2 linked regions of the Arabidopsis thaliana genome follow. The protein of the gene in region 1 interacts with the protein of each later gene in a pairwise test. Each region holds a gene or a part of one and is shown on either strand. Other genes may lie near its edges. The genes, in order: FIB2 and AT5G62440.

Region 1 (5,005 bases):
AGTGTGTTAGCTCATTATGCACATGGTGGTTTAGCTCTTTATGTAGATTGTTAGGATCTGGTTTGAAAAAATAAATAATAGTTACTTAACATTCATACCCAAAAAAATAATAAAGAATAGTTGATAATATTTCATGAAAATCGATTTGTTTTGGTGGACATACATCGTCGTCTCTACTCTATTGTCTCGATCGCAAGTAATATGACAAATAAAGCAGCAGCCCTAGCAATAAAACATGTGACTACTAAAATAGGAGGATTTATCTTTACTTGACGAACTATAAATTAAATATCTACTCTTTTACCTTGACTTTGAAAATTACTTTTTAAGATTGCCTTTTACAATTATGTGGAATAGCGGCACACATTTACGTAAATTTAACTTCAATTTAAAACAATGATTTATTCATTTTCATCATACAAACTTTTCAGCACATTTTCTCCTTTTTAATATAATTTTATATATTATAGATAGAGATATAGATCAAACAATGTATGACTTTAAACTTAGATTGTAAATTCTTCTTACTATGCTCGAAAATTTCATCTACGTATATAGATCTATTGTAAACCTAAGTTTAAAACGGAAATCAGTTATTGATAGTAATCTAGTAAGTTTAATCAACTATGCGTTATAACATAATGAAATCATATATACGAGCTTAGATATCTAATTCAGTTAATCAACAAGTCAACTAAACAAGGCTTCACTTTTCCACACCTCTACAGATCGAAATTATTATATATTCGAATTATGTAACTAATGTAAGTCTTGCAACGTGTGGATAGATACAAAATGGATATGTCCATAGGTATACATATTAAAAATATAACTAGAAATGGTATATTACTAACAAAATTTTACCCCCAAAGGTGGCCATCCACTAGTAGCCACATGCTTATCTAGTAGACATTGAACATGATAAAAAGTGCCAAATAAGTGGAATAATCAATGGGAATCTTCATTCCTATAAACAAAAACATTTTCAAGCCTATGACATAGCTAGCTACTCTACAACATGTATATGCCAATTGGGATATAAATGTATTAAAGCATAACCATTAATTTGACAAATAGAAATAAATAGTTCAGAATGTATAAGTTGAGAAAAGTTATAATGATTGGTAGGGAGAGACTCAAAAAGAAAAAAGGATGGGTAATGGGACCTATTTTCCCCAACATCCCACATGCACACTTCCCTCTCCATTCTCTCACATTTATTTCTTTCATTCTAATTTATCCATTCCGTGTGTAACATATTCACTAATAATCTCATCTCACTAACTCATTCATTGATTGTGATATGTTTATCTAGAATTAGTGTTTTAACACTGTGTCTACATATGATTTCCTTTTCATTGTATGTGAACATGTTAACTCACTAATCATTTTGTATTTTCGAGTTAACATGAGTCTCCACTTCGGTAGACTAAAGTAAAGATAGGTTTGAGTATAATAAAGTTTAAAATTTGCTTTAAAATCAATATTTATAAATAAGTTTTTATCATAAGTGATTTTTGTATGTTATATTGGACCTTGTATAAACAGACTACAGAAGAAAATTATTTATGAGAACTTGTAATGTTAGAGTGGACCTCGTATAAACTAATTATGTGGGCTTTTACCATAAACTATTTATGAAAATTATTATGGCCCACACCACTATAACTAAAGCCCACATATTTAGCAGCCCAGTTTCATTGTAAGAGACATGTTCGCTCTGGAACTAGAATTTTCTGGTTTTTGGGTATTTGTTTTCTTATGTGTAGAGAAATGATGGTAACGATTAAATGTTGTGTATTACAATTTACAATGGTAAGACGATTAATATATTTACACACAATTTTGTTGTTGCTGTAACACGTTAGTGTGTGTGATGATAGAATTTCATAAAGCTTTAACTACGAGGGGCAAAATGTTAATTCTAAATAGTTGACAGCAGAAAAAGATATGTATACATAATATAAGGATTAAAACGTAAATAATAATAAATAAGGCGAGTTAAATTAAAACCCTGTTAAAACCCTAGCTTGAAACACATGTATAAAAACACTTGCGAGCGCAGCTTCATCGCCATCGCCATTCTCTCTCTCATCAAAAGCTTTTCTCCTTGATTTTCGCATTCTTTAGAGTCTTAACGCAAAGATGAGACCTCCTCTAACTGGTAAGAACCCTAGCCGCCTCTTCTCTTTTCTTCATTGCTTGCTTATCAGATTAACAATGGCGAGTGACACTCTTAGCTCGTTTAGTCTTTAAAACTTTATGTCTTTAGCTGAACTGATTGTCAACTTTGTTCTTTTTTGCTTAGAACTGTATTGGGTCTGCGTTAGTTCTATCGGATATAGAGTTGATGGTTGGGTTTTATGTTAAACATGGAGTCTCTAATGAATGGTCTTTTGTGTTCAGGAAGTGGTGGTGGGTTCAGTGGTGGAAGAGGGCGTGGTGGATACAGTGGTGGTAGAGGTGACGGTGGATTCAGTGGTGGTCGAGGTGGCGGTGGTAGAGGAGGAGGAAGAGGTTTCAGCGACCGTGGTGGTCGCGGCAGAGGAAGAGGACCACCACGTGGTGGTGCTCGCGGCGGCAGAGGACCAGCTGGCCGTGGAGGCATGAAAGGAGGAAGCAAAGTGATTGTGGAACCTCACAGACACGCAGGAGTGTTCATTGCAAAGGGTAAAGAAGATGCCCTTGTTACCAAGAATTTGGTTCCTGGTGAAGCTGTCTACAACGAGAAGAGAATCTCTGTTCAGGTATTATAGAGGATTGATTAATTGATTGATGGTTTGTATTTGCACTCCTTTTGATGAATTTGTTTTTAATGGTTCTTGTGATTGAATCTGCAGAACGAAGATGGAACCAAGACTGAATACAGAGTTTGGAATCCTTTCCGTTCGAAGTTGGCTGCTGCTATTCTTGGTGGTGTTGATAACATCTGGATTGTAAGCATCAGCTTGTGTGAATCTTATTGTTGTTGTTTGCGAGACTTGGTTCATATATTGATTGTTGTTCCCGTTTCAATGTAGAAACCTGGTGCTAAAGTTCTATACCTTGGTGCTGCTTCTGGAACCACAGTCTCTCATGTGTCTGATCTTGTTGGCCCTGTAAGCAGAACCCGTCCTTTATGTTGTGATTATCAGGTTTTAGACGTGTATTGGAGTTTCTTATATATTGCCTTTGTGATCTGATAGGAGGGGTGTGTGTACGCGGTTGAGTTTTCTCATAGAAGTGGTAGAGATTTGGTGAACATGGCAAAGAAGAGAACCAATGTTATTCCAATCATCGAGGATGCTAGACACCCAGCTAAATACAGAATGCTTGTAGGCATGGTTGATGTTATCTTCTCTGATGTTGCTCAGCCAGATCAGGTTTGCTTCTTTTGTTTAACTCACAATGAATGTCTAAATATTTGCCTCAAAAAGCTTGACCCAATACCATTATATGTGTCCTTTGCTTTAAAATGGTGTTTTGATAATTGCAAATGATGATCTTACTTGGATTCCCCTTCAGATCATTATGGGTGATGCAATCTCCAAGTTTCTGATGTACTGAAAATTCTTGTTTTTGTTTTTGTTAAGCTTAATCTTATTTTACTATGTACTTGTTTTACAATTTCGTTTTTAAGAACAATACTAAATTTAAATGTCTATTATTGCTCGGTTTTGGTTCTCCTGATGTTAAACCTACTTGTTTTCTAAATGCCATTCAGCTTGTGGGTTGCTTCTAGTATACTTTATACTGTTTTGTTTATGAAATTTTCTGTGCCATTTAAAACCGTGCAGGCTAGGATCTTGGCTTTGAATGCATCATACTTCCTCAAGTCAGGAGGACACTTTGTGATCTCAATAAAGGTGGGTAGCAATCGAAACATTTATTTAATCCATGATCTCTCAAGAGAGAAAGATTAGTGAACATGTATTGTCTCATTTTTGCAGGCAAACTGTATCGACTCCACCGTTCCAGCAGAAGCTGTGTTCCAGACTGAAGTGAAGAAGCTTCAACAGGAGCAATTCAAACCAGCTGAGCAAGTGACGCTTGAGCCATTTGAGCGTGACCATGCATGTGTCGTTGGTGGCTACCGTATGCCTAAGAAGCCAAAGGCTGCTACTGCTGCTTAGAAGTTTTCTACTCTACGCTCTTCCCAGTACCTCAGATTTTGCTTTGTCTCGGTCTCTTTAGAATCTGTATGGTTTTAGGGTTTATCTTAAATTTTGAGCTTTGTAATCATTTTGAACCCTGGTTATGTTCACTTGGCTTCCAGCGCTAACTTTTTCGACAAGTTTTTGATATATGGAACAATTATAATAGAATTTTGTCGACTGAGGTTGATTTCTTTAAATAATGACACCTCGTAATGCAAATGTAAAACGCCGCAAGAATTTGCACACAAACAAAACAAAGTTTGAAGACACGTTGCATTTTTAGGACACAAGCCAAGGAAATGTAAATACAAAAAGCTCACGCAGAAACTGTAACAAAAAACTAATGTCAGAAGTGGGGTTTGAACCCACGCCCTCTTACGAAGACCAGAACTTGAGTCTGGCGCCTTAGACCACTCGGCCATCCTGACCTTCTTTATTAAATATCATTGACAACATATATAGCAGGATGAAAAAACTAGAATGGCTTATTCTCAAGCATCTGGAATTTTATTTGGGTTACAAATTTTTTTGATACATTTGGGTTACATGAGGAAAAGTAACTAACATTTGTAATGCAATTTTTCCTTTTGGAAGTAAGTAACAAAACATAACTGATGGAACAGTTTCCTACAATCTAAAACTCTAAATAGAACAATTTGGTGCCCAAACCAATGAAAGACAAACAAAAAGTCACTACTAAGCTTAACAAAAAAAAAACATCAATCACGCAAGTATATCCTTGGATGTCGTCTCACTCCCTCCCCATTTCTTCATACGTTCCATCGTCTCCTCCACCTGTTCATCACAGTTGAGATCGATTCAATTCAAGGAATGAAAAAGTGTATATAACAAACATGGTGTTGTATATC
Region 2 (4,543 bases), on another chromosome or scaffold:
CGTTGAACACACTTACGATGAGCATACTATAGACACAAAATACCAAATTGATGAGAACTGTTTTAAACGAAAGATACCAACAAAAACAAATAAAACAATGAGATTCATTGATAAAATTATCACCTTCAAACTGCCACTACAAGAACAAGGGGACTCGAGGTTCTTAACGGAATCCTCCTCTTGGCATATACGACATTCAACCGATTGGATGAGCGGTTCCTCTTCATCATCAACATCGCGTTGTTCCGTTGTCTCTTCTTCCTCGGTTTTCTTACCATCCATAGATTTAGTAGTAGACAGGCTTGTGGAACCCTGAGCTCTAGAACTCTCTCCAGAAGATTCAATAGATTGATTGGATCCTCTATCTGAGTTTAAACTTTCAGGTTTCACGAGACGGTCAGTACTTGAACTCTGATCATCAGCCATCTCTCTTTTAGCCTCAATGTGTAAAAAAACGTTGTCCTGTTAAAAACCAAGAAAGATCCAAAGATTCAAAATAAAAATCTCATAACTCTTATAATGATAAATGTTCCATCATCAACACAAAAATCTCCATTTCTTTGAATCGAAACATCATAATTGAGCTCAGACAATCGATTTCATTTCATTAAAGCGGAACAATTCAGGGAAAATGTCTTGGTGGAAGAGATTAGGATCTGAGTTTAAAATATGTCTTTGTCTCCAAATTTCCCCAAATTTTCAAGACATAAACCTAATCGGAAAATCCCCAAATTTCAGAATCACATCTCAACCATGAAAACAAAAGAGAGATACCATTCGATTCCATCACAATTCAGGAATGAAATTGAAACCCCAAAAGTCACAGAAATCAAAATTCCCAAATAGCAGAATCAACCAACCATAACCCAAGAAGAAAATGAAAGAAAAAAAGAGATAAAAGAGAAGATGATCAAATTATGATTACCTATAGAAGAAGAAATATCGTGAATCGCAGAAAATGGGGGAAAGAAGCTCTCTTTCGATTTCTTGAAGGGCACAAACAGCTCTCAAGATGAAATTCGGACAAATGTGTTTTCTTGTTTGATGTTCGGTCTGGAAAAATATTCAGATAAGTAAATCAAAATTTCGAAGCGCGTGTAAACAGATAAATATATAATTAAATACACAAAACCGGAGTTATGGAGGTTGACGATTTGACACGGTAACGTTATGATAATCAGATTTTCACAAAAAAAAGTTTTTTTTTTTTTTGTACCTATCTATCTTGGTTCTTTTTAGATTTTAGATAATATTACAAAAATAACTCTTTACCAAAATACGATAAAATAATTCCATTATTTTTAGAAAATTTAAGATTGAGGTGTTTGACTGTTGATAGATAATATGGTAAGATTGACTAGAAGCAAAAAAAATATATTCCAATTATGTCAAATTTTTGAAAAATTTAAGAAGTTCCATTAATTCCACGAGATGTAAATAATTTCAAAAGATGTTCGTTTGACTTTGACATTTTCCTCTTTGGCAAAAATTGTGATTGATCAATAAGTTAAGTCTCCAAGATATCCCGACAGACTGAACATCTAAAACGTTTAGGTATCCCAAAAATTATTTTTAATAACATTGTAAATTATATCAACATTTTTTATCCAAAAAAAGTATAATATGATTTATTTGTTAAACTATTATATTAAGATTTGAGTTTTTATTCTATTATTTAGAATTACTGACTATTATCCAAATTTTCTACAACAGTAAAAGTAATTTGTAGACTAAAAAAATATCTTGAGATGATTAATAAAAAAATATATTAGAAAAATGTAGACTTTAAAATGAAAAGATTTAAGAGACGTAAAAATAATAATTGGACAGATCAATGACGACAAATTAGTTACTACATTGAAAATCCTGGTTTTCATGTAGTGTATGCCGTCGAGCCAAAAAATCAAATAGACCGAACCAGTTCGGTTCAATCGGAAACCAAAGTCATATAAATATACCGCTTAGACGATTTCTGTAGGTCACACACCCTCAAGCTTAAACCCTAGAAATCGTAGAAAGGTGAAAAAAAGGCGGAAGCTTTACTAGCTTAACAATGGCTGAAGAACAAGAGATCGTCGATTCCCTGTCAGCGGAAGTGAACCCAGACCAGAAAGTGGACATGGAAGTCGAAACCGCGACCCCGAAAGCCGAGACCGGCGATGAGAAACGTGAGAGAGAGGAGACAGAGGAAGAAGAGAACGGAGGTGAATCGAAGAAGCAGAAGGTTGGAGAGGAAGAGAAGTCAGGTCCGGTTAAACTTGGTCCCAAGGAGTTTGTTACCTCTGTGGCGATGTTCGATTACTTTGTCAAGTTTTTACACTTTTGGCCAACTGATCTCGATGTTAATAAGGTAATACATATTTGGGTTTACTCTTCGTCTTTGTCTTTTGGCTTTGTTTATTGTAAAGTTTCAAATTTTTTGGAAATATTCATTCCTTTGCTCGAGACTTATATAGGTTAATCTAAGAGCTCTGATTGTGATTATTAAGTTCTGTGATGTGTTTAGGAAGATGTTTTATCAATGAATCTGATGATGATCGTGCTTTGTATTTAAACTAAAAGAAATTGAGAATTGGGTTCGCCTTTGTATTGGTCATATGATTTGATTTTGGATTCAGTGTTTGGTGTTAGAATTTTGTTTTTGTCTCAAATTAGTGGTTGTTTACAATGATTGTGGATATTGTATTATGTTTAGGGAGATGATTGTGGATATTGTATTATGTTTAGGGAGAGGATTAGTGAAGTGGAGATAGCTTGTAAATTGGACTCCTTTGCAGCTTTTTTACTAGTTGAAAAGTTCAAATGTATCGTGTTCTTACTGATTATATGATTGTGGATTGTGTGTGAATTAGAAAGTTTTTTTGGGTCTTGATGTCATATAATGGTTAGAAGAATGAAGTTAATGTCAAATTTTGAGGGCACAAATAAAAGATAAAACATTGCATAGTCATGTAATATATTACAGTTGTTGCAGTTTCTTTTGAGCTTCCAACTAACTAACTCGTTGTACTGAACTTTGTTCTGGATTGTACATTTCAGTATGAGCACATGGTGCTGCTAGATCTGATTAAGAAGGGCCATTCTGAGCCTGAAAAGAAGATTGGAGGAGGAATCAAAACCTTCCAAGTAAGAACCCACCCAATGTGGAAAAGCAGATGCTTCTTTCTGGTTAGGGAAGACGATACTGCAGACGATTTCAGCTTCAGGAAGTGTGTTGATCAAATCCTCCCATTGCCTGAAAACATGAAGACTCCTGGAGCTAACGGCAATGGACATGGTGGAGGTCGCGGTGGCGGTGGTGGAAGAAGAGGCGGTCGTGGTGGTGGTAGAGGAGGGAGATTCAGAAGATGAATATGCTGACACTTGATGCCTTATTTCAAAAGAAAATTTTGAAAATTTCAGATTTAGTTCTTTTGCCAAAAACTTTAAAAGTTATGATCTTGTCTAATGCAACTGCTTTTTGTTGGAGAAAAATTGTCAGTTTATATAACCCATTATTGCTGAAGAAGAAGAATATTGTCCCTACTATCTTGACAACATCAGAAAAAAACACAGACGCGTCAATAGAACTAAAAATCTGGTTGATCTAGTTTTTAAAAACCAATAATTCAAAAACGAAAAACTCAAATCAAAATCTAGATGAAAAAAAAACACTTTCCATTGATAGTGTAGTGTTGATCTGGTTGCTAAATGATAATGTTAAATAAAAAGAATTGGGGAAGTTATGAAAAACCGACATTTTGACTTTGGTAACTTACTGTGTGTGACATGTTCACCGTTTACGACCCTTCTAAGAGAAAGACAATGCCCTCAAACTAAAGCTGTCTTAAATCTTAACCCTGCTAAAAAATGATTACATGAAGTGATAACACTGGTTGGCACACGTCTTGGAATAATGGATTATTTTGAAACACATTATGAATTATAAAGAAACATTATCCGATATTCGGTATTCGGATTAATATTCCAAATTGTCTTCTTACACAATATACAAATAGACACATACACAAATTGTCTTTTGAAGATGCAACAAATTTTGTTTTGTTAAGCCTTCTTAGATTTAGGAAGCTTCTTAACTACGATCTTACTGCAACACAATCAGTTTGTGAAATCTATGATCTGACCAAGATGCAGGTGAGTAAGGGACCTACAGTAGAAGTTGACATGGAAAAAAGGCAGAGTTTGGTAAATCATAAAATGTGGCAGAGACCTTTTTGGTAATAGCCAATGAGAGAGCACCTCATATCTATTACCTTCTTCTGCAGTCTTCTTATCTTAACGTACAACCGTTCACTTAATGAAATTCGTCAATGGATGTTATATGGTTGTGAAGTTTTTTTTTTGTTTTTTTTTTTATAATTGATTTTCTATTAATGGTTGTGATTAATCTTTGTGTATAAAAGAAGGGTATATGTTTCTCCAAACCAAAAAGTGTAGATCGTTTTCAAATGAAGGATTTTTATCCTTCTACCAACCAATTAAGAAATTGCACGTAACAAGACAGCTCTCGTGTGAGCTGCACCAAAGCCATCCCCGCGATGCT

What was found.
Region 2: the proteins of FIB2 (region 1) and AT5G62440 interact in a two-hybrid assay, tested with the Arabidopsis thaliana proteins (one study listed by BioGRID).

Annotation. Positions count from the first base shown.
Region 1 is NC_003075.7:13,072,094-13,077,098, forward strand, and holds FIB2 (fibrillarin 2), read left to right. Parts: upstream 1-1,996; 5' UTR 1,997-2,145; coding exon 2,146-2,164; intron 2,165-2,406; coding exon 2,407-2,747; intron 2,748-2,840; coding exon 2,841-2,936; intron 2,937-3,020; coding exon 3,021-3,098; intron 3,099-3,185; coding exon 3,186-3,362; intron 3,363-3,469; exon of another isoform or gene 3,470-3,542; intron 3,543-3,776; coding exon 3,777-3,845; intron 3,846-3,929; coding exon 3,930-4,112; 3' UTR 4,113-4,339; downstream 4,340-5,005. Other genes in the region: DTX35 (detoxifying efflux carrier 35), read right to left, coding at 4,483-4,564, 4,864-4,931. UniProt on the Arabidopsis thaliana protein: S-adenosyl-L-methionine-dependent methyltransferase that has the ability to methylate both RNAs and proteins. Involved in pre-rRNA processing.
Region 2 is NC_003076.8:25,071,428-25,075,970, reverse strand, and holds AT5G62440 (EMB514 (DUF3223)), read left to right. Parts: upstream 1-1,901; 5' UTR 1,902-2,053; coding exon 2,054-2,350; intron 2,351-3,039; coding exon 3,040-3,351; 3' UTR 3,352-3,854; downstream 3,855-4,543. Other genes in the region: AT5G62460 (RING/FYVE/PHD zinc finger superfamily protein), read right to left, coding at 1-26, 124-462, 775-777. UniProt on the Arabidopsis thaliana protein: May play a role in ribosome biogenesis and in determining the rate of cell division. Involved in a process essential for nuclear and nucleolar functions.